Rattus norvegicus: one gene and its partner. The protein of the gene in region 2 purifies or fractionates together with the protein of the main gene of each other region. This does not show direct contact. Links are inferred from orthologs where the notes say so. Each region holds a gene or a part of one and is shown on either strand. Other genes may lie near its edges. The genes, in order: Haus2 and Haus5.

Region 1 (4,316 bases), on a different chromosome or scaffold from region 2:
AACCTAATCTATCATATCAACCAAAGTAGAGAAACAGAACTGGAAAGATGGCTCAGCATTAAGAGCATTTGTTGTTCTTGCAGAGAACCCAGGTTTAATTACCAGCAACCACTCTGTGGTTCACTCCAGTTCCAAGGGACCCAGTGCTTTCTTCTGACCTCCATGGGTACCAGGCATAGTACACATACATACATGCAGGCAAAACATTCATACATAAAATATTCAAATAAAGATATCTATATGTAAACAACATATAGTGCTCAGGCTCTTTAGAGCTCAGGCTGTAACCTGGGGCCCCTGTAGTGGCCTGTTTTCAATCTTGACGCTGTATCTCTCTATATTCTGTGTTATTCCTTCCCTCAGAATAAATTTATTTTCCATTCTTTAGACAAGAGGCCAAGAACCTAAATATTTCTAGCCCAGACCCTGACACACTGGTAATATACAGACTAGACGGGGTTAGACTGACTAGCTAGCTCCTCCTATCTCTGGCTCCTAGCTCTAGGACATTTACCTTCACATTCTGCTTTTACCTGGGTGTGAGGGATCTAAATTCAGCCCTTTGTGATTATTTGATAGGCGATTTATTGATTAAATCACCTCCTGAGTCCCAGTACCTGTTTTATATGGTGCTTTGGATCAAACCAAGGGCTTTGTGTGTGCTAGGCAAGCACTCTATCAACTGAGCTATATCCTCAACCCATTTACTTTTTTCATTTAAGGGTTTAGCAGGGCATGATTGTACATGTCTTCAATCCCAGCACTCAGAAGGCAGAGGCAGGTGGATCTCTGAGTTCAAAGCTTGATCTATAGAGTGAGTTCCAGAACAGCCAGGACTACACACAACCATCTGTAATGGGATCCAATGCCCTCTTCTGGTGTGTCTGAAGACAGCAACAATGTACTCACATAAAATAAATAAATAATCTTAAAAAAAAAAAAAACCTAAAAAACAAGAAACTGGCTAATGTGGAAGATAACCATAAAACCACCACTGTACAGTGCCTGAGGTTATCTACCTTTCTATAGTTCAGAAACTTGTATTCTCTGTCAACACTTTCAAGAAGGACATTGAGTCTCAAATGTGTTACTTATGAAATAATCCAGTAGTTTTATGACAAGAGAATGGCACGATGCAAGGTGAGAATACTCTGCAATGTGGTAGAAAGAAAACAGAGAGGAGTGAGAAAGGATTAACTGAAGAGTACTGTGCCAGCTCCTGGGAAACCAATTAGCCAGGGCCAATTCACACACTCAAAGTAATGCTGGGTCTTAAACAAAGTCCAAAATCTTTCACAGCACAATGCTATCACATTCACCCTTATTATTTTAGCACTATTTATTTAGAGACTGAGTCTTGCTATGTGGCCCTAGATGGTCTGTAACTCACTAGCCCTGGGATTACAGCTGTGTACCACCCTGTCTGGCTGTTAACTCATTTTAAAAGATGATAGAGCAAAAGGGAGAGAGTTATAGGATCTAATTCTGCCAGCTTGCTGAGTGATACTGATTTCTTAGTCTCTTTAGGTGCTTCTTATTTGTTTAATGGAGACATGGTCTCCTCCCTCTATCCTAGGCTAGCCTTGAACTCTGAGCAATCTTTCTGCTTCCAGCTCCCAAGTGTTCCCAAGTCTTGTGTCACCACATCTGGCTATTTAGGTTTCTTAAACACTTTAGGACATGTGTGAAGTCTCTATTACCTCTTTCAGACATTAAAACCAAAAAACAATGAAACCAAGGGGCTGGAGAGATGGCTCAGTGGTTGAAAGCACTGATTTGCTCTTCCAGAGGGTCTGGGTTTAATTCCCAGCAACCACAAAGCAGCTCACAACGGTCTGTAACTCCCATTCCAGTGGACCTGACACCTTTACACAGATATACAAACAGGCAAAACATCAATGTACATAAAATAAAAATAAACAATTAAAAAATCTTCCATTACTAGCACTGCTAATTTCTACAGACGAATTAACTAACTTTCCTCAACTTCCTTTTTGTATCAGTTTCCTTCCTTCAATCATAATGTGCTTGATTTCTCACTCCCTCATTCCTTTCAGTTATTCCTTCAGATATTCGATTTCTCCCTTCTGTCTACCTGCTTGTCAAAACAGTCACTTCTTGGGCTACTCTTTATTCTTGTCTCAAAATCTTCACAGTGCAAGGGCATACCCAGACACACAGAGACAAACACACACTTTTAATAGATGCTGTCCTAAAGAGTCTCCGCTAGAGTTCTTCTGTACACAGGGCCCCAGATATATTTTAATAATTCCCATTAACAGGCGTTGTTGGAAATGTTTTTAAAGATACCTGCCACTATTTCTTTCTCACTGTCCCCACTCTACAATTTAGAGCGGTGGTTCTCAACTGAGTGACTCTCAACTCTTGGTGGGGGTCAAACAACCCTTTAACAGACACGGGTCGCCTAAAGACCACCGGGAAACACAGATGTTTACATTAATATTCCTAACAGTTGCAAGATCACAGTTATGAAGCAGCAACCAACGGAAATGATATTATGGTTGGGGGTCATCACAACATGAACTGTATTAAAGGATCGTATCCTTAGGAAGGTTGAGAAACACTCTTCTAGAGGAAGTAGTATCACTGAAAAGAAAAAAAAAAAGCGGAATGCTGGTCCATCTCCGACAAACCGGCCTGGGATAACCTGCAGGCACTCAAAACAGAGTGCTCGGAACACCAGCACTCTGTCCCTCACACTCGAAGAGCCCACGGGAGTATGGTCACGGCTGCAGTCTCCAAGGGACGCTACTAAGTACTCAACACAATCCTCAACTGGCTCACTCACGCCCGGGTAACCAGGACCACCACCTCACAGCTGAATTCTGTCGCCACCTTGATGACGCCGTCGCCGCCCCCCACGTACCTCAGTGACTATCCCTGAAGCCACCAAGTGGTTCAGCAGTAACCCAGCTGCACTCGGCGCGGACGCTGGGTCCCACGGGTTGGCGGCAGCCATGGCTCCAACGCACCTCTGGAACTGGCGCGAGGAGTGAGGGGCACACAGCGAACGTGCGCGCGGTTTGATGATGTCACAGGGCGTTCCTACCCGGGCGGAAGCCCTGGGAGCGCGTCTCAGGCGAGCGCGGGTCCCGGGTGTTCCCTGGTGGAGTCTTCTCTGCACTGAGCGGTAGGAGGCGAGTCTTGAGCTCCCTGTTCCGGCAGCAGCTATCGGAGGCTCCCTGGCCCTTAACTCAGGTGCCAACGCAGCAGGATCTTGTGGTAGCACTATCTGCTCGCTTGCTTTCCCCTTGTTACTCTTGGGCTGGCCCCTGGGAAGTAGGGATAGGCAGAAGGTGACAACTGGGACAGGAGACCTAAACGAGAGGTTTAGCGATGGCTGTATGTCTAGACTGGGCGGTGACAGCTATGCTTCTTTCCTGCAGGGAACTGAGCCGTGGTGCTAGGATGGGAAACAGTGCCCTCCGTGCTCATGTGGAAACAGCGCAGAAAACTGGTGTCTTTCAGCTTAAAGACCGTGGTCTGACCGAGGTGAGACCTGAGGGGACCGGACCTAGAAACTAAAAGGGAGAGGGATGGCGGGGTGGCGAAGTCTATTGGTGCAGGATTTTTCCACACTGTGAGCTCCTTTCTCCAGTTCCCCTCAGAGTTGCAGAAGCTGACAAGCAATCTTAGGACCATCGATTTGTCCAACAACAAGATCGACAGCCTACCACCTCTGATAATAGGAAAGTTCACTCTGCTAAAGAGTCTCTCTCTCAACAACAACAAACTGAGTATGGATTTTGTGCCTGGGCAGCTTTGGCTAGTAATCGGCAGTTTTACTGAAGGGTGTTTTCCCTGTTAGATGATTTTTGTTATGAAATCAGTTTAGGGGATGCAGAATGTTAGAGTATTGAAGCTTTTATCTCTTGTAATTAAATCTAAAAGCCTCCTTGGGTAGTGTAATCATTATTACTAGGTTAATTTGGACTAGGAAGACCTTTGGGAATCGATGTAAACACGATGTAAACAGTTATCTAATTTGGGTGGCAGGGTGGAATGAATCTTTTAACCTTCCCCAGATTGTTTTTAGAATACACTTAAGCCCCTTTACAAAAAGAATCCATTATATACGTACACACTTTTCTGCATTTTGATGGCTTCTTAAGTCCCAAACACCGTTTGTAAAAGGTGAAACCTAGACATGACATGTGAGGATTCTATGTAAGAAGTCAGGCCTGTAACCCCAGCCACTCAGAGGCTGAAGCAGAAAGATAATTCCAAGGCTACCCTAGACAACTTAGTGAGACCCTGTCTCAAAATTAGAAACAAAACCAAGATGGGGCAGTTAC
Region 2 (3,811 bases):
CACCCCAACTCCTCTGAGTCCAGATTCCTCAGACAGTTTGCACTCTGTGGTTTCTGCTCCCTTCTGGGGGAAACGCCAGAGCTTACGTGAGACACCATGCTTTTTGGTTTTTCTTTCTCTTTTGAGAAAAGGTCTCTATGTAGCCCTGGCTGTCCTAGAACTCCATATGTGGACCAGGCTGGCCTCACACTTATAGACACCTTTCTGCCTCTAACTCCTGAATACTGGGATTAAAGGCGTATGGCCTTTATTTTTTTCTTTTGAGGCAAGGTCTAATCTAGTACAGTCTAGCCTCAAACTTGCTATAGAAGGATGATGCCAAGCCTTTACTTCCCAAGTACTGGATCTGCAAGTGTGTGCATGCATGTGTTTGTGTATTTTAGGTTTATTAGGTTTTGTCTTCATGTATGTGTATGCAGCACATGTGTGCCTGGTGCCCAAGAAACCAGAAGACAGCAGCAGGTCCCCTGGAGCTGGAGTTACAGATGGTTGTGAGCGGCCACGTGGGTGCTGGGGACTGAACCAGGGCCTCTGCAAGAACAGGTGCTCTTGACCACTGAGCCATCTCTCTAGCCACCTTCCCTTGGAGACAGGTCTCACACTGTAGGCCTTGCTGGCTTGGAACTTACTATGTAGACCTCACTGATCTTACACTCACACTCATACATGCCTATGCCTCCACGGTACTGGGACTAAAGGTGTACGCCACTATTCCCAACCACCACACCTAGTTTTATGCAGTCCTGGTTATGAAGGCCAGGACTGTATGCAAACTAGGCAAGCACTCTATTCCCTGGGCTCTATCTTCAACTCACCATCTTTCCCAGGGCCTTTTCACCCCACTTCCAACTTCCACTCTTGCACCATTTCCCCCCAAATGGTGACTGGGCCTTGTCCCCACTGCACCAGAACAGACCCACTGAACCCGAATGCAGAGCGCCGCCGTCACTGAGTGCCTTGTCTGCAACCTCCACCATGACTCTTACATGCTCTTTATCTAGGCCTGCCGTCTCTGGAAGTCTCTGAGTCATGGGTTAGTGTGGCAGGAACAGATATGCTAGCCCAGAACCCCGAATTTGGATGAGCTGACATGGGGGTTAGGGATCATTTGGAGAGGAGAGAAGACAAGAAGAAAGGGAACAAAATTATTCTTTAGAAGAGAGGAATCCAGGAGCTGTTACAGATGCATAGGCAGGTAGTGGTGGCTCACAGCTTTAATTCTGTCAGATCTCTGTGAGTTCGAGGCCAACTTGGTCTACAGAGTTGCAGGACAGCTAGGGCTACACAGAAAACACAAACCAAACCAACCAACCAAACAAAAAGAGTTCAAGATAACCATTAGGCTGGGGTAATGGTGTGAGGTGAGAACACCAGCATTTGGGAAGCTGAGGGAACGAATTGCTTGTCTGAGGCCAGCTTAGGCTGCTTCACCAGACCCTGTCTCAATAAACAACAGAACAACAAAAGACAAACAACAAAAGAACACTGGGCCATCAAGATGGTCCAGCAGATAAGAATGCTTGCTGCCAAGCCTAACTACCTGAGTCTGAGCCTTGGGACCCACATGATGGGAGGAGAGACCAGGCTCCAACAAGTTGTCCTCTGACCTTCACAAACATGGTGTGGCACACACATGCACACACACTAAAGCAAAACAAGGTATTCTGAAGGCAATGAGTGAGTAGTTGGCAAATGGATAGACTGTATAGCCTTATAGTTCGATCCACATCTAACCATGGGGTTGGGATTGGGATGGGACCCATGTTCATAGCCAAGCTCTTGCCTGGGCTGGGGAAGCAGGGGGGCAGGGTGCACACCTTGGGAGGCAGAGGCATGAGGATCTGAAGTTTGAAGACAGTCTGGACTACACAGTGAGATACACACCAAAAGACAAAAAAAAAAAAAAAAAAAAAAAAAAAAAATCAAACCAACCAACTGTACCGTGAAGTCAGGCTACTAAGCCTTGTACACCTGAGTTCCCTGCTCTGCAACTGGGGGGGTGGGGGTTGCTGTGCAGCTGAAGCAAGCATGCTTCCAGCACACTGCAATACTGGGGTCTTTAACACTTCCGTGCTGGCGCAGACCGGAAGGAATGCTGGATCTGAAAAAGCAGGCAGAGCCAACATACCCTGGGTGGATGGTCCCGGAGGCAGACTGGTCTTCACACTGAGATTTCCTCCTCGGAGACCCCACTGGTCTTGGAGAAACAGAAGATCTTGTCGGAGAGAGGCCGCCCTTGGAAGCAGTAGTTCGGGTGCCTGGGAGTAGGGAAGGACGGTCAACTTGGCCACAGGGTTGGGACTGGGATGGGCAAAAAGGTCACAGGTCATGGACACCTACTTTCCCTACAGGCAGTCCCAGTGTGTGACTCAGCAATAGGAGGCTGGAGCCCCTTGGGGTAGTGGGGTGCAGCTGATGGATAGATGGTAGAATCCTGGATAGCGGCTTCAACCTGTGGGAAGGGCAGCAACAGAACATCAGGTGGTTTGATTTACAGAAGCTCATGGACTTGGAGGTAGGCTTAGGGACTTAGATGATATGGGGTAAGGTTTGGCAAGTCTGGGGACCCTGGGCTACTTTTGTGTGCATGTGCAGGTGTGTATGTGTGCAGAGACCCAAGGTAGACAGCAGATGTCTTCTTGGTCACCTTTATTTTCTAGATTGGGGCTCTCCTCTCACTGGACCGCACCTTGGAGCTACTTGACTAGGTTTCAGAGGGAAGACAGGGCTGGCCCCACCTCACCCTTTGACTTGGTATGGTGGTAGGGGGCCCAGGATAATGTGGGGCAGGTGTTTGGCTTCTTCCTTCAAGCATCGAAGCAGTTCTTGGCTCTGTGGTGCCACAGCCTCAGAGGTGGGAACAAGCTTCTGCCGAATCAGGGCTAGCACCTGTGGGATGGAGATGGTAGGTGGGGTAGCCAGAGCCCACCATGCCTCGCCCAACATTCACCTTACCTCCTCTGGACCCCGGCTCAGGCGAGTCTTGCTAGCTGAGTTTCCCTTGATGAGCAGACGGATCTGTTCCTGTCTCTCCTCCTGGGGAGTCAGAAAGCCACCGACACTAGCTCCCCGTTCTTCCCACTGCCCAGGGCAGGCAATCCACCCCTTCTTACAGGGGACAGGTCCTGCTTCTTCCTGGGAACCCCCCACCCCCCGGCTCCCTTCCTCAGAGGTCAGGTTAATTTGTTCCTTCATCCCTCCCCTCCATATCTCTTCAATATTTTTGAGGTTTATTTATTCTTAGTTTATGGCATGGCTGTGCTGCCTGTAAGGATATCTAGGCACTGCATGTATGCCGCCTGCTCACAGAGGCCAAGGAGGCCATCAGATCCCGGGAACTGAACTGCCAGCTGTGAGCTGCTATGTAAATGCTAGGACCTGAACCCAGGTTCTCTGGAAGGACAACTAGTCCTTTTGTCAAGACAGGGTTTCTCTGTGTGTCTATCTCTGTCCTAGAAGTAGCTCTATAGACCAGGCTGTCCTTGAACTCCTAGACATCATCGTGCCTCTGACTCCGGAGCACTGGGGTTAAAGGCATAGGCTACCATGACCCAGTGTAGCCAGTCCTCTTAATGCTGAGCCATCTCTCATAGCCCTGGGAGACCCAGAGCTTGGTCTCTAGACCCCACACCCCTACTCTAACCGTCTACCAGGCCCAGGATCTCACCACCAGCTGCCGCCACTGTAGGATCCTCTGCCTCTTGGCCTGCAGCTCTCGCAGCAGAAGCTGCCGGTGCCCAACTGCACTCTCCAGTTCCTGGCTCTGGGCATGAAGAGCCTTGAGCTCTGCCCACAGGCTACTGCGCCTAAG

Evidence for each region.
Region 1: the proteins of Haus5 (region 2) and Haus2 purify together in Homo sapiens (affinity purification with mass spectrometry; 5 studies listed by BioGRID and IntAct, with this or other methods). This does not show direct contact. The link is inferred for Rattus norvegicus from reciprocal best matches to the Homo sapiens genes HAUS5 and HAUS2.

Annotation. Positions count from the first base shown.
Region 1 is NC_086021.1:128,005,613-128,009,928, reverse strand, and holds the start of Haus2 (HAUS augmin-like complex subunit 2), read right to left. Parts: upstream 3,036-4,316; 5' UTR 2,981-3,035; coding exon 2,888-2,980; intron 1-2,887. Other genes in the region: Lrrc57 (leucine-rich repeat-containing protein 57), read left to right, coding at 3,048-3,151, 3,408-3,513, 3,620-3,758.
Region 2 is NC_086019.1:95,040,654-95,044,464, forward strand, and holds part of Haus5 (HAUS augmin-like complex subunit 5), read right to left. Parts: coding exon 3,668-3,811; intron 3,037-3,667; coding exon 2,956-3,036; intron 2,890-2,955; coding exon 2,744-2,889; intron 2,453-2,743; coding exon 2,341-2,452; intron 2,259-2,340; coding exon 2,129-2,258; intron 1,086-2,128; coding exon of another isoform or gene 994-1,085; exon of another isoform or gene 538-993; intron 532-537; exon of another isoform or gene 431-531; intron 1-430.